Linked DNA regions of Sus scrofa. The protein of the gene in region 2 purifies or fractionates together with the protein of the main gene of each other region. This does not show direct contact. Links are inferred from orthologs where the notes say so. Each region holds a gene or a part of one and is shown on either strand. Other genes may lie near its edges.

What was found.
Region 1: the proteins of RPA3 (region 2) and RFC1 purify together in Homo sapiens (affinity purification with mass spectrometry; 3 studies listed by BioGRID and IntAct, with this or other methods). This does not show direct contact. The link is inferred for Sus scrofa from reciprocal best matches to the Homo sapiens genes RPA3 and RFC1.

What each region holds. Positions count from the first base shown.
Region 1 is NC_010450.4:30,555,930-30,559,500, forward strand, and holds part of RFC1 (replication factor C subunit 1), read right to left. Parts: coding exon 3,520-3,571; intron 1,904-3,519; coding exon 1,712-1,903; intron 685-1,711; coding exon 610-684; 3' UTR 1-609. UniProt on the Homo sapiens protein: Subunit of the replication factor C (RFC) complex which acts during elongation of primed DNA templates by DNA polymerases delta and epsilon, and is necessary for ATP-dependent loading of proliferating cell nuclear antigen (PCNA) onto primed DNA.
Region 2 is NC_010451.4:77,912,010-77,916,180, forward strand, and holds the start of RPA3 (replication protein A 14 kDa subunit), read right to left. Parts: upstream 2,864-4,171; 5' UTR 2,675-2,863; coding exon 2,576-2,674; intron 1,390-2,575; coding exon 1,315-1,389; intron 1-1,314. UniProt on the Homo sapiens protein: As part of the heterotrimeric replication protein A complex (RPA/RP-A), binds and stabilizes single-stranded DNA intermediates that form during DNA replication or upon DNA stress.

The DNA.
Region 1 (3,571 bases), on a different chromosome or scaffold from region 2:
CATTTGCAAATTAATAAGGAAAAAATATACCGACATAATATTTTACCGTATAAGATGACAATCTTAAGAATCTGTACATGTATTGTGGAATATTGTTATCCCTAATTTATATTTTGTAAGATATCTGACAATGTACAAAGAATATCCAGCTCTAGGTGGTGACTGTTTTGTATTATAATTTATTTACAAAATTTCACCACATAATAGTTAACTACCCTTTTTAAGAAAATCAGCATTGGTCCTATAATGGCCATTAGGATAAATTCTTAAGCCTACAAAAGCCACCTTAGTACCTCTGTTCCCAGACATATTACCATTAACTAAAATCTGACTCCAAATTCTGATTATACAGTCATTTTGAAGTACAATCTCATTGGATTGACAAGGGATAGTGGAGGACCCAAGGAGTCCTATCAACCTCTATAAGAGGTGCATACCAGCCTACTGCTTGCATCCTTCTAGCTGCACCACTGTTGATTTGTAACGGGACCATGAGGTTGCCCCATTACACTACAACATGGTTCCTATGGAAAAACAAGGCATTCTCTAGACCAGCTAGACTGGTCAGCAGGGTGAGTAAAAAGTGGCTGTCAGCAGTCAAAAACAGTTTCATTTCTTTGAACTTTTCCCTTTTCCTTTTCTGGACTCCTTATCTTTTTCTGATTTTGAAGGTTTCGGCTTTTTCTGTTGGGAAAGAAAGATGCACAGAATAGTTAATAGCTGTGTTTCATGAGTAATGAAATAAAGTCATCTCTACAGTAAATCAAATCTTTACCTGTAACTTAAAAAGGGGGAAAGGTTGCAAACACCTAGATCTTGAACTACTGCTACCCTGATGCTTACTAGCACAAGTGGCTAGCTGCAGCCTTTAACTACTGAACATCTATTAAGACGCCAGAACTAGGATATGTTCCCCAGTATGCATTTTCTTTGACTCAGAACATAAAAAACATAAGTATATTTAAGAAAGACAAAATAAGCAAGAGATAATTTACAGATACAGTAAAGTCCTCATGAAGAATTTCCTTTGCTTTCAGTTTCAGATTAGAGATCCCAACATGCTCACTCTGAGCAGGGGAGAGAGGTAGACGTCTTAGGTCTACACAGGACTAGAGAGCGCCTCACTGAAGAAGGGCACTGTTCCCACCCCTGCACAGAAACGAGAACACAAACAGGATCGAGAATGATACACAGACACACACTAAGCACAGAAGAGGCTACAAACTAGATTCCTTTGCCTCAGCCAATAGCAAATAGTGGGCCAATATTATACATGATTTTAATCTTTCCTAGCAAAAGATGAGGCTGTTTTGCTCTGAGAAACTTCTATAGGCAATTCAATGTATACAGGAGAAAACAACAGAAGGGAAAAAAGGTTTCGCTAAAATAAAAATGCTTAATTATGCGGTGAAAGTATATCTGTGCGTAAAGCACACACCAATGGCAAATAAATAAAAATTGTCCTTTTACTAACAGCACATGACCATCAATATGATGGCTATTTTCTTGTTACTAGGCTCTTCCACTGTTATAGAAGCTGTTTATACAAATGAACTGTGATGAACAAAAAACTTAAAAGCATTTTCAGCTTCCTCTGCTACTTGCTAAACAGGCCCTGAATGATTTCAAAATGTTAGTCATACACATGAAAAGATAAGCTATTCTGAGGGAGTATCATAGCTTCTCCTATTTGTACATTAAAATATACTACCTTGATCATAGCATCACTTTCTAAAGTGTCCTGGTCTTTCTCATCAGATTGAGAGTCATCTTCATTTAACTCTTCGTTGTATTCAGAATCCAGCACTGGACCTGTGCTGTGTCTGTGTGTCTTTACTGCCTGCAGTGAATACGGAGTAAGGTGGGCTTCCTTATTGTAAGCTCTTGTGAAGGCTGCTTTCACCTACACGAAAGGAACAGAGGAAGATTATTAAAACTCTTAAGTGCCAAACAATCCTTTAAGTTCTACAGGCCCAGAGGCTTTGAGAGATCCTGGGAGCCCCTTGAAATTGTTGTAAAATATATATGTGTACATTTAAGTGTATGCATGTGCATTTTTCTATAGAGAGGTTCCATATTTTTCATGACATTCTTTAATAGAGTCCATGACTCAAAAAATAAGAAATCAGTATTTGGGGAACATAAGGCAGATTTTTAAGTGTTACTTTAAAAGTTCCCAATGGGAGTTCCCGTCGTGGCGCAGTGGTTAACGAATCCGACTAGGAACCATGAGGTTGCGGGTTCGGTCCCTGCCCTTGCTCAGTGGGTTAACGATCCGGCGTTGCCGTGAGCTGTGGTGTAGGTTGCAGACGCGGCTCGGATCCCACGTTGCTGTGGCTCTGGCGTAGGCCGGTGGCTACAGCTCCGATTCAACCCCTAGCCTGGGAACCTCCATATGCCGCGGGAGCGGCCCAAGAAATAGCAACAACAACAACAACAACAAAAGACAAAAAGACAAAAAAAAAAAAAAAAAAAAAGTTCCCAATGTGGCACAGTGGGTTAAGAATCCAACTGCAGTGGCTCAGGTTGCTACAGAGGCGAGGATTCGATCCCTGGCCCAAGACGTAGGTCACAGCTGTGACTCAGATTCAATCCCTGACCTGGAAACTTCCATATGCCACAGGTGTGGCCAAAATAATTAAAATAAAAAGTTACTTAAGTCATAATTTTTATCGATTCAGTGCTCTCTTATCACTAAAAAGTCATAAGGAAAGTTAGTGAACCAATAAATCAAAAAAGGCTTATAAAAAAAGGTACAAGTTAAAATTGGCCTTTAATTACCATAAAATATGCAAATTACCTTTACCATAAAAATAGATTATTTCAAAATACTAAGTGATGTGAAAAGCCTTAACTTCAAGCTTTCTAAACCTAACTGTAGAATGAGTCCACAAATTCTAACAATGGATTTCTCTTGTGAGAATCTGCCCATAGCCATTAGGTCAGGTCAAAATTCTAGAGTCAGCAAGCCACAGAGAATATGTTTTCTAGAACAGCACTGAATAAGGCACAAGGGTGAGGTACTTGAGAGGACAAAATCGTGTTATGTCACTTTAGTTTTTTTCATGCTCATTATATAAAGGAGGGGGTACATTACTATATAATAGACTGTCCAAATGTAATAAATACACTGAATCCAGATTAGGCAGACTGAGACAAAGTCTAAAAATGCTCTGCCAATAAACACATCTTTCTTTTCATAATATGTTCTTTCTTTCACTCCCAGGCTCACCTGCCCATCCTTATAAGGAATCCACTGACATTTGCTCCTCAGATTTCACATCTTGCTTTTCCACTCAGCATAAAGCAGAGATAAAACTATAAATTATAAAGTCAAACCTTCAAGTCTACTCTGAATACTGTACTCAAATGGTATCTTTGGAAAGCACACACCATAAGCAAAAGGCATTTAAGGAAAAGAAGTTTAACTGTTTAAAAGCATTTAAAACATCTCTGAAGTACTCCTAGTGCACAGTAATTAATTACAAAGTGATGGAGAATCAGTGGGGTATAACTTACCTTGGGATCCAGCTTGGAGAAAGGACTAGGTCTGCCTCCCCAGCTGCTAATT
Region 2 (4,171 bases):
ATTTAAAAATTTATCAATGCAAAAATGGAATTGTTACTTGTTAAAAAAAGTTTGAGTACTTACTGTCAGCATATCACCAGTCCTATTACCTTTAGCAGTGGCTCGAGGTCCAAAGATACAGTTAAACATTAAAGTTGAAGACAAAATCACTTAAAGAAACTGAGAATGTCCAGCATTTCCATAAGGAGTCATTCATTTAAAAGAGCCCACTGAAAGGAACCTTCTATTATCTACATCTTATACAATGCGTTCTGCATATATTAACTAAATAACACACAGATCTGTCTTCATAAATGACCAAGAAAATATTTTTAAGTACAATAAACATAAACTGTAAAAACAAATACGTGACAACTGAAAATGAATTTTTTTTTTCTGTGTGTGTGTGTGTGTCTCTTTTTAGGGTCACACTTGCAGCATATGGAGGTTCCTAGGCTAGTGGTTGAGTTGGCGATGTAGCTGCCAGCCTACACCAGAGCAACTCCGGATCCAAGCCAAGTCTGAGACTTATACTACAGCTCACAGCAACGTCGGATCCTTAACCCACTGCAATGGCAGGAATCGAACCTACATCCTCATGGATACTAGTTGGGTTCGTTAACTGCTGAGCCATGATGGGAACTCTGAAGATAAATGTAAACAAAAAATAGCATTTAAAATGTAAAACTCCTAAGGAAGGAAAGAGTGATTTAAACAGATTTTTCTTAACGTGATTTTTTGGTCTTTCATAAGGATGGAGAATTGTCACCTGGCATTTAAGGGATGCATTAAAAAATCAGAGTCCAGTAGTTGCCTTCGTGGCTCAGCGGTTAATGAACCCGACTAGGATCCATGAGGATGCAGGTTTGATCCCTGGCCTCAATCAGTGGGTTAAGGATCCAGGGCTGCTGTGAGCTGTGATGTGGGTTGTGGACATGGCTCGGATCTGGCGTTGCTGTGGCTGCGGCGTAGGCTGGCGGTTGTAGCTCCAATTGGACCCCTAGCCTGGGAACCTCCATATGCTGGGGGTGTGGACCTAAAAAGCAGAGCAAAAAAAAAAAAAAAAAATCAGAGTCAAAAAAAAAATCACTGGTTAGAAATGTAAAGGGAAATATAATGTAAAAAGAGGGCAAAAATTTGATTTGAGAGAGAGAGAGAAAAGTTTGATAAGCTGGTCCTTTATACATCCACTCCAAGAATCAGAAACATTAGCAACAAACCAAAACAAGATGAAGAATTAACTCTGAAATTAAAATGAACATGCATAGAATACATACATATATACATATACATAGAACATAGATAGATATACACAGAATTAATACTTAAACATACAGGCTCCATCAACTCAATGGTTACATTTTTTCCTTCTCCATCTGAAAGAATAAACATTTTTCCAGTGGGATGAATCTAAAAAAAGAAACATGATTAAAAAAAAAAACTCCACACAAAACCCTTTAAAATCTTCTTTGAAAGATTAAACGCTTGACCAAAAGATGAGCAGACTGACCCATACTTACTTTACTGATGCTCACAAAACAGTTGTATTTGAAGTTTAACTGGTTCAAATTATCTTGTGTTACTATACCTGATCAAAGGATGTTCAATTAAATCTGAATTTCATTAAAAAAAACCCCTCCTTTTTAGTACAAATGTGTCCCATATTTTTATTTGCTAAATCTGGCAACATTATGCTAAGAACAAATTAAAGAGGCTCCATACTATCTAAAAGTGAGATCTACTGGCACCCATGATTTAAAGAGTACATATCTCCCAAAGGGTATGTTTTTAAAAATTAGGCAAGAATAAATAGAGAACTACTGGTTGTCAGAAGACCTAGGTTCTACTGTGAGACAGCTGCAAAGAGTGCAGTCAGATCTGGTTTGAATGCCAGCTGTGCTACTTACTGTGGCCTTGAGCATTTTGTAACCACACTCCATTCCTACCCAGTTTCTTTCCCAATTTTGGAATACAGCTATTTCAGGAAGATACATGGCTAAAACCACTAAATAAGACTTTATATAAAAGTTTTCTTTTCCTCAGCTTTCTCAGTTCCCTGATTCTAAGACTTCAGGCCTGTTTCTTACCAGCAGACTGAGGGGCTGCCCTCTAACAGAGGTGTGAGATAACAGAATGCTGCTGGATCAGAAAAGGACAATCAAACAATGTTTATAGGAAAGCGACTTCAACGAGAAAATGAGGTTTGAGAAAAAAGGAAATTAACAACATAAGTAAACAAGAAAATTAGCTTAGTTGTCAAGTCTGGTTAAACTAAAAAAATCTGAAAGTAAATGTGAGAGTTCTGTCTGTAATCTTTATGTAAACACAAACAGAACGAGGGTGGGGGCCGCTAGAATTTAGAACTCAGCGCATTCGAAGACTTCCCTATTTCTCGCCTTAAGAGAAGCACCAAAATAAGGCTGCAATGGATAAAAAGTGTGCAAAAAAATTCCCTTGTGAGAAATAAAGCAGTCGGAGAGCAGTGATGTTGCAAAGCTTTTCGTCCTCCTTCACTCTGTTAGCCACTCTGAAGCCTCCACCCTGACAGTCACGGGGTCCTTCCCCAGGGGGAGCCCAGGGCAGCAAGCGCACGTACCTTCTCCAGCCTCCCTACGAAGCAGACCGGCTGGTCGATGAACTGAGTTACCATGCTGGCGTTGATGCGCGATTTGGGCAACTCCATCACGTCCACCATAACTGCAATGCAGGACCGACAGATGGCGGGAAACAAGCCGACAACTGAAACCTTGAGCTCGGCAGACGTCTTCGGGGCGGATTTCCCCGGCACCAATCCGCGGAGACCAGCACTCTCGCTCCGCCAATCAAACGCGCGGAAATCTCGATCACAGTCCCGCTGTCTCCGCCGGCGAAGAAGGCTAGGATGCGCCCGGAAGTGGGGATCGGCTGCTTAGTGACGCACAGCGTCCCGGAAGTTACCTGGACTCTCTGCGAAGTGTAGGCGGGGGCGGGGCTTGGATAGGGCGGGGCTAAGGCTTCCTCCCTTGATCTTGTCCCCCCCAGCTGCAACATAACCCCGGAAGCAGGGTGTCAGGCTCCGGTGCGGTGCGGCGGGGGACTGCGGCTCGAGCCTCAGGTACCTCTTATCGCGGGAGTCGCCGCAGCCTTACTGTTGCTCTTTCTCCCCACCAACGGATGCGGAAGAGAGAGGCGGGAGTTTGGTACTTGTCCCCCGCCTCCGTGGCATGCTCGTTGCTGCGCCACCGGCCATTCGCGTTTCCCCGCCTCCTCTTTCCGGGTTCTTCGTGGGAAGCGCGAGGTTCTTGTTGAATGAAATCTAGGGATCGGATTTCTTTTTGACACCCTTCCTCCCTGGAGACGGGAAGTGGGGTCGCCAGTGATTTTTCGCCTCCTTTGTGAAGCTCCTGCTCGGTGGCAGAGGGTCGGCGATTTATTGCCTCAGCTGCGTCACTTTCCATTGTCAATTTCCCCACCTGTGAGCTAAGAGGTTAACTTGATTATCTCTACGACCCTTTTTAGCCCCAACTTTTTGGCCACACTGTGGTGTGGGTTTTCTCACCTCCGTGTTAGCAACGAATTGAAACATTTGGGACTGAGTGAGGAAAGGACCACTGGGGTAGTAGAGGAAACGAATATAAATAGCTGTTAGATCCTGAGCAGGTGCGCTACTTCTTGAGACCTAATTTCCCCATCCGCAAAATGAGGGTGTTAGATAACTGAATGTATTGCAAGGTTCCAGGTGACAAATTTTGTCTTTGTGATTGACAGACTCTTCTTAACTCTCTGCTGATCTTTCCCTCCATTGCTTTCCACACCCAGGACTCTGGAGGGGAGGTCAGGAGGTGTGGAAGATAATTTGTTTCAAGGAAATTTGGGGAGGATTCTTGTCTTTTGCTGGCTCAAGTGTCTGTTGATTTTCAGGGCTTTGTTTGCCGGGATTTACCTTGCCAGAATATTCCAGAATGAGTGCTCATAAAAATACATGCCAGCGGTGCTCCAGAAATTGGGAACAAAAATTCACTGGGATTTTATTATTTTTTTGGAGACCGAGTTCATGAATTTGCCCAAGCCATTGAGGTACCTAGCTCGAGTCTCCAGTTTAGTCCCGCATCTGCCTTAAACTAAGGACACAGGGCAATTTAAGATGGAAATCTGTTGTACTGTAGTCAAATGATAGTTCCCCGCCCATAATATATATGTAAATATATTTGTC